Macaca fascicularis: one gene and its partners. The protein of the gene in region 2 interacts with the protein of the main gene of each other region in a biochemical or structural test. Links are inferred from orthologs where the notes say so. Each region holds a gene or a part of one and is shown on either strand. Other genes may lie near its edges.

Evidence for each region.
Region 1: the proteins of PTPN11 (region 2) and ERBB4 form a complex in vitro, tested with the Homo sapiens proteins (2 studies listed by BioGRID, with this or other methods). The link is inferred for Macaca fascicularis from reciprocal best matches to the Homo sapiens genes PTPN11 and ERBB4.
Region 3: the proteins of PTPN11 (region 2) and SIRPA form a complex in vitro, tested with the Homo sapiens proteins (2 studies listed by BioGRID). The link is inferred for Macaca fascicularis from reciprocal best matches to the Homo sapiens genes PTPN11 and SIRPA.

The regions. Positions count from the first base shown.
Region 1 is NC_088386.1:107,518,828-107,522,478, forward strand, and holds part of ERBB4 (receptor tyrosine-protein kinase erbB-4), read right to left. Parts: intron 2,025-3,651; coding exon 1,825-2,024; intron 1-1,824. UniProt on the Homo sapiens protein: Tyrosine-protein kinase that plays an essential role as cell surface receptor for neuregulins and EGF family members and regulates development of the heart, the central nervous system and the mammary gland, gene transcription, cell proliferation, differentiation, migration and apoptosis.
Region 2 is NC_088385.1:119,340,604-119,344,354, reverse strand, and holds the start of PTPN11 (tyrosine-protein phosphatase non-receptor type 11), read right to left. Parts: upstream 2,774-3,751; 5' UTR 2,567-2,773; coding exon 2,553-2,566; intron 1-2,552. UniProt on the Homo sapiens protein: Acts downstream of various receptor and cytoplasmic protein tyrosine kinases to participate in the signal transduction from the cell surface to the nucleus. Positively regulates MAPK signal transduction pathway. Dephosphorylates GAB1, ARHGAP35 and EGFR.
Region 3 is NC_088384.1:85,367,230-85,370,880, forward strand, and holds part of SIRPA (tyrosine-protein phosphatase non-receptor type substrate 1), read right to left. Parts: intron 1,618-3,651; coding exon 1,369-1,617; 3' UTR 1-1,368. UniProt on the Homo sapiens protein: Immunoglobulin-like cell surface receptor for CD47. Acts as docking protein and induces translocation of PTPN6, PTPN11 and other binding partners from the cytosol to the plasma membrane.

The DNA of each region.
Region 1 (3,651 bases), on a different chromosome or scaffold from region 2:
TGTAAAATAACATTATATAATTTACTGAAATATCCCTTTTTCTCATCTTGTTTCCCTACATTTATTTTTTGCATTTTCTTCTTCCCATTTGCTTTTCAAGTATAGAAAGATATATGAAATATGAATTTTTGTAGGATTTGTAAACTGATTAAGTGCATCAAAGAGGAAGAATGTTTTTTTCTGATTCTTTTATATATTTCTTTACATTATTTTGAATTCATAGTTAAATTTTTGAAAGATAGAGGTACTAATTTTTTTAAGGATGTCGAAGGAAACAAGAGTATAACCCTGATTTAGGGAAACATTTATCAATTGGTATTGAAGAAGAATCTATCTTATTGCCATGAATCATCTACTTTGGGGCATATACACACACATATTGTGATGTGGGATAAGCTTAAGCATTAGGGAAAAAGCAAAGCAAATTTTCTTTTAGAAATCAGTAATGTGTAAAACCAAGGAAATAACATAGGCCAAATGAAATAATGAATATCATTCAATATAACATGCATATTTTGATACACAATTAGATTTTATATTTCGTGATTCTATGTGGAACAGAAGAATGAGTAAGAACTTAAGTTCACTCTTAGCAGGAATCTCATATTGGGATAGATCTCCTTCATTTCGAAATATTTTTAAGGATCGAAAAGAGCTAAAATATAAGAGAATTAATCATAAATTATATTTTATGAAGATTAGTAGACTGAGCTGTCTTAAATTATTTCTGGAACAAGATGGGATCTTAATAAATCAATTAATTCACTGAAAACTCAATAAACAAATTATGTTGGCCTCTTAAGAGTTTATAACTTTTAAAAAAGTCTTCTATTTATTCACACACACACACACACACACACACACACAAACTCAATCATTACTCATGTATACCCTTATGATTGTTTTAATGGAGAGATCAAAGAAGTAAGAAAATACTCTGAGAGCAGAATTTTCTAGGGTTCTGCCTTTTAGAACGGATTGATTTTGTGCCCACAACAAGAATATTCATTTGCAAACAGATCATTTGAGTGCGGAGTCTTTTTATTCAGTATTTACCATAATAAGTCTGATGATTGTACTCATAATAGTGGCACTCATAGGATGTAGGAAAGAGTAGTATTCAGTAGAAAAACAGGGAAGAATGAAGTATAAATCATTGGAATATCAGTGCATTAGATAGGAATGGCATAGTCATGTGCCTACAAAAGCATTATTTGCTTCAGAGTAAATGAGAAATTATTAAATGAATCAATAAGTAGCAAAACAGATGAAAAAATGATAAATACATGTCTACATAAATGCATTAATAAAGTAAACTTTCTTTCTGAACAACAAAACATCTTGAACAATGTACTTCTTGAATAGTAGTTTTTACACATGTTAGAAAAATACAACTTCATTTTTCTCACCACCTCTAAATGGCAAAACTCTGTTATTCTGTTATGAAACTCACTGAAACCAAACAACAAACAGAGAATTCAATAGGGTGGATCTCCACACATTGACTGGATCCTTGAAATTACCTGGGATGCCAATGATTTAAATACCCAGGTTCCATTTAGACATACTGAATTCAAATCTCCACAGGAGCGTTCTTAAGATTAGGTAAGACATCTTGCAAATAAATATGCCATATGTTGTAGAAAGTCACTTACTCTGATTATTTTATATCATATTGGCAATTGTAATAACTACCTTCCTTTTTAAGGGTTGGGATAACAAAGCAACAATTCTGACCTGATGTTATTTTTAATTTTTTGGTCCAAAAAAGAATGGGAAAAAAATTAAGTTTCTATGTTTTAAATGTCTGAGTAATGTACTTACTACAGTTTTCAGCTTTTCTATTGTCCCGGATAACTATTCTTTGGTTGATTGTGCTGAAGAGTGTTGTCCAGTTAATGGTATGATAATAACACAAGTTGCTATTGTCAGTAATATAGATGTTTCCTGCGCTGATTTCCTTCAGGGACTGGAACTGTAGAGAGGTGATGCCCTGTTGCTTGAGGATAAGCAAGGAGAGGCCACTAAGGAGGGGGAAGGGAGAAAATGGAACCATGAGACACATTCTGGAGTAAAATAAGGCTGTCATATTTTATTTTTAAAAGAATGTTAATGGAGTGTAAATAGAGACTGAATCAGTAACTCTGTGTTTTGAATGATATTTGTTTTTACATGCTATATACAGTTTTTAAAGTAACAATTTGACCTCCCAAAGTAAAATTTCCATTGCTTACAGTTATGCATATTGGCAGTGTATCTCTGTGTATATATTTACCACTGAAATATCTGCTCACTATCTTCCCACCCCAAGCCTTAACTTTACATTGTTCAATGATGAAATCCTGTATTAACACTAAAGAAGTGTTTATAAAACAATCGTTCATCTACTCAAAGTAAGACATTAATTCCTTTTTATGTAATAGATTTAGACATATAGACATACTTTCAGAGTATGTCTAAATAATTTCAGAAAATGATTATAGGTATTTAGCTTTACTTTAATACCTCAGACACCAGAACTGTAATAATTGAGGCATGTGTAAGTAAGGTTAGGAGACGGTAAAAAGTAAAGAATAAAACTAAACTAAAATTAGAAAAAGAAAACAAACTCAGATGCCTTGGGTATCTGGGGAAAAGGTCTCTAAAAGTTAAATAACAACTACCCTGTTTAGAATTGCTCACATCATGCACTCCATGCTTGGAAAATACTAATATTACTTTGAGTGACTGACGATTGAAAAATCAAGGAAACTACTTTTATTTTAATATAATCCACATTATTGTAATTATTTACTTTTTTACTTATTTTCTTTTTTTACTTATTTACTTTTCCATTCTCTAAAGCATAAACATGCTTCCCATATTTCAATCAGTTAATGAATATTATTTTACATTTTGGAGATCAATGCTTTCCACTTTTATTTTTAGTTTTAAATATTCTTTGCTGTTAATATTTAGATTTATCTTCCATGGTTGTCAGAATGTGTGTGTGTGTGTGTGTTTGTGTGTGTGTATGCTCAATGATAAAGACCAAGATGCAGCTCTTTCTCTCAAATTTTGTCCCCATCATAACTATCTTGAGTTGTTGATTACAATGTTAGCACAATGTCTCGATTGGCTTATAATATTTATTCAATGGATAGTAAAAGTTGTTTACATATAGCACTTTAATAGATTGTATCTCTTGACTATCCTTTCTTATTAAGCTCCTTTTTCCTTTACATTTTTAAAACCTCTTATAAATATAACTTTTAAATTTTAATAGTGAAATTCAATGTACTTTTTATAAAACATTATTATAAAATCAATGATGATATTAATTTTGGAGATATTTTGAACTTAAGTAAACAAATTTTAAAAATTCTTATGTAAATTGACTTTTAATTGCTCATAAATAAGAACGTCATACAGATGACATTGAAGAAACCTGTTATTTACTCTTATAATGTGAATTTAAATTATTGACATTATAATTTTATCAATGTCCTTCTAAACCTGAATTTTCTTGTCCATTTATTAACCAGCAGAACATGTAGAATGGCGGACCTGTTCCTAAAACATCAGCCCTGTGATGTGTAGTTCAAATTATAGCACCAGAGACAAGAACAGAATCTCCTGGCACAACAGCATGTGTATCCTATACACCCGAGC
Region 2 (3,751 bases):
ACACTTCCATGCTTCTAAACTAACAAACTGGACAATGTAGGGTCTAATACTACACAGATCTTTTCCCAACCCTCAGCCCCCTAAAGCAGCAAATCCTTACTTGTCTGGAAGAGCAGACACCAGGAACAAAAGGCTCAATGACTATTAGACAGATTAAAGAATAGACAACTGTTTATTTAAAAGCTCCCTAAAGAATTAGAACATTTGAGGCTATACACTGTTCCGTTGAAATGCAGTTATATATTACCCAGATCCGCAAGCACTTGCCAACAGACCTGTCCAAGTCACTCACTTCCTACGAGTTCTGTTTTCTTTTTTCTCCCCTTTTTAAATTCCAGATCCATGTAAGAATAACATGCCAGGTCTGTTTGGAGGAGACATTCCTAATATTTTGAAAAATCTCATTCAGGCCGGGTGCGGTGGCTCACGCCTGTAATTCCAGCACTTTGGGAGGCCGAGGCAGGCGGATCTCGAGGTCAGGAGTTTAAGACCAATCTGGCCAACATAGTGAAACCCCGTCTCTACTAAAAATACAAAACTCGGCCGGGCACGGTGGCTCATGCTTGTAATTCCAGCACTTTGGGAGGCCGAGGCGGGCGGATCACAAGGTCAGGAGATCGAGACCATCCCGGCTAACATGGTGAAACCCCGTCTCTACTAAAAATACAAAACATTCGCCAGACGTCGTGGCGGGCACCTGTAGTCCCAGCTACTTGAGAGGCTGAGGCAGGAGGATGGCTTGAACCCAGAAGGCGGAGCTTGTAGTGAGCCGAGATTGCGCCACGGCACTCCAGCCTGGGCAAGAGAGCGAGACTCTGTTTCAAAAAAAAAAATTAGGCCGGGCGCAGTGGCTCAAGCCTGTAATCCCAGCACTTTGGGAGGCCGAGACGGGCGAATCACGAGGTCAGGAGATGGAGACCATCCTGGCTAACACGGTGAAACCCCGTCTCTACTAAAAAATACAAAAAACTAGCAGGGCGAAGTGGCGGGCGCCTGTAGTCCCAGCTACTTGGGAGGCTGAGGCAGGAGAATGGCGTGAACCCGGGAGGCGGAGCTTGCAGTGAGCTGAGATCCGGCCACTGCACTCCAGCCTGGGCGACAGAGCATGACTCCGTCTCAAAAAAAAAAAAAAAAAAAAAAAAAAAAAAAAAAAAAAAAAAATTAGCCAGGCATAGTGGCATGCCGATAGTCCCAGCTACTTGGGAGGTTGAGGCAGGAGAATCGCTTGAACCTAGGAGGCGGAGGTTGTGGTGAGCCGAGATCGTGCCACTGCACTCCAGCCTGGGCTGTTAACAGAGTGAGACTCCGTCTCAAAAAAAGAGAAAAAAAAAGAAAGAAAAAAAAATCTCATTCAAATAGCCTCAATAGCTTGAATCGTTTTTTAAATGTCTGAGACAGTGACCATAATTGAACAACCATGGAAAAGAATAGACAATGGGTCTTAAGTGTGAGTGGTATATAGAGTGATTATATAAAATAGCAGGATCATTATCTGAAAACAAGTCACACTACTGTTTGACAACAAAATTAAGGCTTACAAGTGGTTAGCAATAGTTACAAAATAATAGAAGCAACATAGTGATTAAAAGTAGGGATTCTGTCTCCACCACCTACTAGCTGTGAGGTTAAGCAATCTACTTAACCTCTCCGAAACTCGGTTTACTCATCTTTACAATGGGGATAATAGTAGCCATCTGAGAGGGCTGTCGTCAGAACTAAGCAAATGTTAGCTATTAGTAGTAATATTACCCTGATCTTTCAAAGGATCTCATTAACTCACTAATTCTCCTTAGTTTCAAATCTTGTCATTTACTAGCATGTTGCTTCTGGGCCTCGGTTTCCTCATCCATAAAACGGGTACCAGTAAAGTGACCTGACTGTTAAGGTTGCAGTGAAGGATTAAATAACGAGATGCGGCTCCCTTCCTTTCCATCTCCCAAAGCGAATATCGCAGAGGAAGGAAATACTTCTAGTGGCTGCAGATACAGTCAGTTTTTCCATTTCTGGCACGTGAGGGGTGGGAGAAAAAGAAGACACAAAGGGGCACATAAAAGGGTCAGGGGTCCTTCGTTAAGACCCCAAATGCACGCAAGTGGCACAGTGACCCAGAACGACTAGACCACTGGGGGCCCGGCCCCGCGCAACTCCCATCTCGTGTCCCAAGGAGCCTCCCCAAGTGAGCAGGGTTATTTCGGAATCACCATGAGGCAATTCTCATGAGGCAATGGGTCAGGAATGCGGCGCTGAGCCGGGCCGCTGGCGCCCGTGGTTCCCTAGGCGGCTCTACCTGCCCCAGGCCTGACGGGCATCCCCCGGGCTGCCGCAGCCGGAACTCAGGGAGGCAGGAAATGAATGGGGACCCAAGGGGTGGGGGCGCGGTGGGGCCGGCCCCCGGGCCGAGGAGGGACAGGGGACGAGGAGGGAACTGGCCCCCAATCCCGATCCGGGGCGGGAGCCCGAAGCCCGGCCGGGGCGCCCCCTTCCGGACGGGGCTGACCGAATGCGGCGGGGGCCGGGCCGAGGCCCGGGCCGGGCCCCTCGGGGCTCCTCACCTCCGCGATGTCATGTTCCTCCCGCCCTCCGGCTCCGCGACGGACCCGCTCCTTGCTCAAGCTCCACTAGGCTCGGTCACATCGGGCTGGCCCGAGGGAGGCCCGCTCGGGACCGGACGCGGGGCAGAGCCAGCCGGCCGCGCACAGACCCCCCTCCAGGCCTGGGGATCCCGGAGACTGTGCAGCCGCCCCCCGGCCCGGCTCGCTCCTCCTCCGCCCCCGCCCTTCGCCGCCGTCGCCCCCGTGATGTCACCGCTAGCGACGCCCGCCGCCACTTCCTGCTTCCCGTTAGCCGAGGACGGAGCCACGGCCGGGAATGGCAGCGCGGGGGTTCCGCGGAGGCGCTAAGCGCAGCGTCCAAAGCATCCTTGCTTCCTCCCGGAAATCGCGGCCGCCGGGTGTGAGCTGCGCGCTCGGCGGCTACGCCACTCCACCGACCGGGCGCGTCCGGGCCCACTGCCACATCGATTTCATTCATTTCGTTCCACAAATCGCCACTCGACTCATTAGCTGTGGAACCTTGGGGAATTACCTACTGTCTCCGAGCCTCAGTTTCCTCCATTAGGCTGGGCGCGGTGGCTCACGCCCGTAACCCCAACAATTTAGGAGGCTGCAGCAAGAGTGTCGCTTAAGCCTAGGAGCTAGAGGCCAGCCTGGGCAAAAAAGACCTCATCTCTACAAAAAATGCAAAACCCTAGCCAGGCGTGGAGGCTGCGGCGGGAGGATAACTTAAGCCCGGGAAGTCGGTGCTGCAGTGAGTCGTGATCACGCCACTGCCCTCCAGCCTGGGCGACAGCAAGACACTGCCTAAAAAAACTAGTAATAGACCGGGCGCGGTGGCTCACGCCCGTAATCCCAGCACTTTGGGAGGCCGAGGCGGGCGGATCACGAGGTCAAGAGATCGAGACCATCCTGGCCAACATGGTCTCCACTAAAAATTCAAAAATGAGCTGGACGTGGTGGCGTTCGCCTGTAATCTCAGCTACTTGGGAGGCTGAGGCAGGAGAATCGCTTGAACCTGGGAGGCAGAGGTTGCGGTGAGCCGAGGTCGCACCACTGCGCTCCAGCCTGCAATAGAGCCAAACTCCGTCTCGATAATAATAATAACAAATACTACTTTGGGGTGGGAGCAGTGGCACACGCCTGAAATCCCAGCACTTCCCTTTGGGAGGCTGAGGCGGGCGAATCGCTTGAGTCCA
Region 3 (3,651 bases), on a different chromosome or scaffold from region 2:
TTGATCCCAGTAGGGTCTGAGCACAGAAATGGAAGATTTCTTCTTCAAGGATCAGCTCGGAAAGCCGGGATGGGGGTGGACACTAAAGGGGTAGGACACACGGCCAGAGCCACTCTCCCTACCCTTTACTATGTGTTCCTAAAGTGCTTATGAGAGGTGGTGGGGAGGGGTGTCATCCTCACTATCCCCACTTTACGGATGAGCAGACTGAGGCGTTAGGTCTCGACAAGACTGCACTGTCAAGAGGCAGCCCTCAGCAGGCTGGACTTACCACGGCGGGGTCACAGAAGGCTGCAGTACCAGCCGCGTGGCTCGGCTGAGAACTTGGCCAAGTCAGTCCCAGTTAGAAGGCTAAGTGTCTCCAGGGAGCAGCTGACCTGATCCTTCTTGCCCGTTCTTGGGGTTCTGGGACTTGGAGGAACTCAGTCTTTGCTGTAAGAAAATCCCTCCAGGACAACAAACTGTTAAACCTCAGACTTCACAAGACCCAACCATGGACTTCAACACATGACAGAGAGCCAAGATCACGTTGCTGTTGTTTTAAGAAAAAAACAAAACAAAACACCACAGATCAAGTTTTCTAACACCTCAGTTTCAAGATTGCACGTTTCACATTTCTCAGTAATTTACAGGCGTCCACAGCGAGATGTTGCTTAGTGCTAGCTGGAGGGGCAAGCTCAGGTCTAGAAGGGAGAGATGGGTCTGGGTGGAGCAACGCAGTTGGGCCCCAGGGAGTCTTGGAGAGACCCAAGGAAGCGGAGGGTTTTGTCTCCAGTCCTTTGGGAGGGGTCCTCTCCTCCTCCAGGACTCATGGCTCTTTAGCCTAGGGATGGGGGAGGCCAGGACTGTTGGCAGCAACCTCACCAAGTCTGGATATGGGTTCCAGAGATTTTTTTCCAGCTTTTCCATGGAAGGGGCAGTTTGATCTAAAGGGGAAATCTTCCCCCCTTAAGCCCCAGTTGGGTGGGGGGTGGTGGTGGTGGTGGTCAGGGGACCACCCTGGAAGCTCAGGCTTCGGAGCATCGGGGAGGCAGTCAAGGGTCTTCGAGACCCACGTGGTGATGGACGGAGGCACAAGAGTTCTTGGACCCCAGGCAGTTCTGGCCACTTCCCAGGTCGGTTCCCTGGCTGGTTTGGCACCATCAGCCTCCAGGTGTGTGGCAATGTGGGGGGAGGGGGCCGTGGCTGCCCAGGAAGTGCTGGAGAGCCAAGAAGGGGTGGGGAGAGAAGAGCCACCCTGGCCCCTGGGTCCCAGAGCCTGCACCGCCCCAGCCCTCCGGGAACTGGGTTGGCTGTGCTCATCACGGCGGCTCCCTGTGGGACAAGAAAGCACGTGGAGATGGGTGCTAGAGCAAACCACGGTCCCATTCACTTCCTCGGGACCTGGACGCTGGCATACTCTGAGAAGGATGGCTCGGGCTTGGGGGCCGGCTGCTTGGGGGTTCGGTTGAGGTGGACCATGTCCAGGTCAGCGTAGGTGAGGGTGTCCTCCGATGCGGGCTGCGGGCTGGTCTGAATGCTGGCATACTCTGTGTGGTTGTTGGGCTCCGCGGCCCGGGGAGCGGGCTTCTTCCCCTTGGGCAGGTTCAGGTCTGCATATGTGATATCATTTGTGTCCTGGATTTAAAATACCCAAAGAGAAAGTCATGAGAAGGTCATTCTAGAGGCCCTGGCCCACTCACTCAGACTAAATACCAAGTCTGGATGCTTCTGTGTCCTCTCGGCCCACACTGGCTCAGCCATAAGTCCTGTTCCCCTCATCTCTTGCCAACGTTACTTGCCTCCAGCCTTGCCCCTTCCCATCCACCCTCCTCCTCACCCTGCCTGAAGGGTCTTTCTGACTCACACAGTGTGGTTCCCTCACAGCCCCGCCTCAGTGTCACCTCCTCCCGCTCCTGCCTCCTCCCAGCCTGAACCACCTGCAGTCTTCGCCCATTTCTCATGTTCCTCCCTCTGCCAAGGGTGTCTGTCCTGCTTCTCCTTGTAACAAATCCCAGTCCACCCTGTAAATTTCAGATGAAGCACGGCTCATCCTAAGACCCTTCCTGGCCCTCCCCTCTCCTGGCAGGGTCCAGGTTCCTTCTTTGTGCTTCCTCAGCCCATGTTTGTTTTCCATCGCAGGACCCACCACCCAGGACCGTGTCTGTTTGGGGGCCTGAGTAGGTGCTGATGGTGATGTGTGTGGGGACATTCATTAATGTACGCATTTATTCCACAAATATTCACTGGGCATTTGTTATGATTCAGAAACCAAGGCTGGCACAGAAGAAGTCTGATTCATACTGAATAAATAGGATGGCAATAATTTCAGCTTCACTCAGGGCAAAGCTGGAGACAGGGAGACAGAGAACAGGGGCAGTATAAGAATGAGATCGCCAGTTGGCAAAGCGGGAAACATTCTGGAGTCAGAAAGTCTGGGTTTGAATCCTGGTTCTAGCTCAGGGATTTTGAGCAACTCACTTAACCTCTCTGGGTCTCAGTTTCTCCATCTGTAAAGAGGGGATGATAATAGTGTCTACTGCCAGGGTTGCTGTGAGAATGGAATGAGATTATCCAGGTAAAGCGTTTAGAAAAGAGCCTGGTACATATTGAGCATCTGTCTTCAATAAATGTTCGCAATCATTAACCACTTAGCAAACCTGGATACCTCCCATGTGCTAATCCTATCAACCTGCCACTGCTACCTCAAAATCGCCCATCATGAATGATAAACTTTGCTTCCTCTGTGACTGGCCCCTGCGTGATAGAACAGAATAAAGCTACCACCAACCGGCACACCTCCTAACTGGTGCACGGTAATGGCCCATTTCAGTTCTCAGGGCTTACAAGCAGCACACAACCACACAGATCACCCATCCACTCTTACCACAACCTACTTGGGAAGGATTATCTATTCCACTTTACAGCTGAAGACACTGAGACCAAGGGAGGTTAAATAAAGTGGACAAAGTTGTCCAGCTGGCAAAGAACCAAAGTGTGTTGGACTCTGCGGCTGTGCTCTTAGCACACAGCTCCTGTCCTGAGCCCTGCGTGCTCTCATTTACTTCTGTCTGGGAAATCCATGTTGATAGCATGCAACTCCCTCCCTGGCCAGGGCTAGCACCTGGCACTGGAATCGCAGGCACTCTGCCAGCTGGGCCGTGACTGTCTGGCTGTCCAGTGCGCGGCACATAGTGGGTGCCCGGTAAGTCTCTGCTGATGTGAATTTCGTGCAGGTGTCCATGACCCGTTTTTCCACCATCATTTTTTTCCCCCAGAAGATTCCAGGAGGAAGTTCAGAAGTAGAATGACAGGGGAGAAGGTCTCCCTCTCTCATGACTGGAAACGGTTTTGTTTTTCCTAATTACTACCTGAGCTCATGTCCGGGGCTGCCGGGGTACCCCATGGGTCACAAGGGCAGGGCCAAGGCATTTTGATCTACAAATGCTGTGCCTTTCACCAGCCCGACAACAGATTACATCTAAAAAGATGACAACTGCCTTGGAAATGTCAAGGACAGCTGGCGCACTCTCGTTCCGGGTTCAGAGCAGGACCTGTCTTGTTACAAGATGCTGAGGAGCCCTCTGCCTTCAAGGTCTGACAGCGTCAGCCGGTGATAAGCAGGGCTAGGTTTCTCAGAAACCACGTTGCCTGCAAAATCATCTCAGCAAT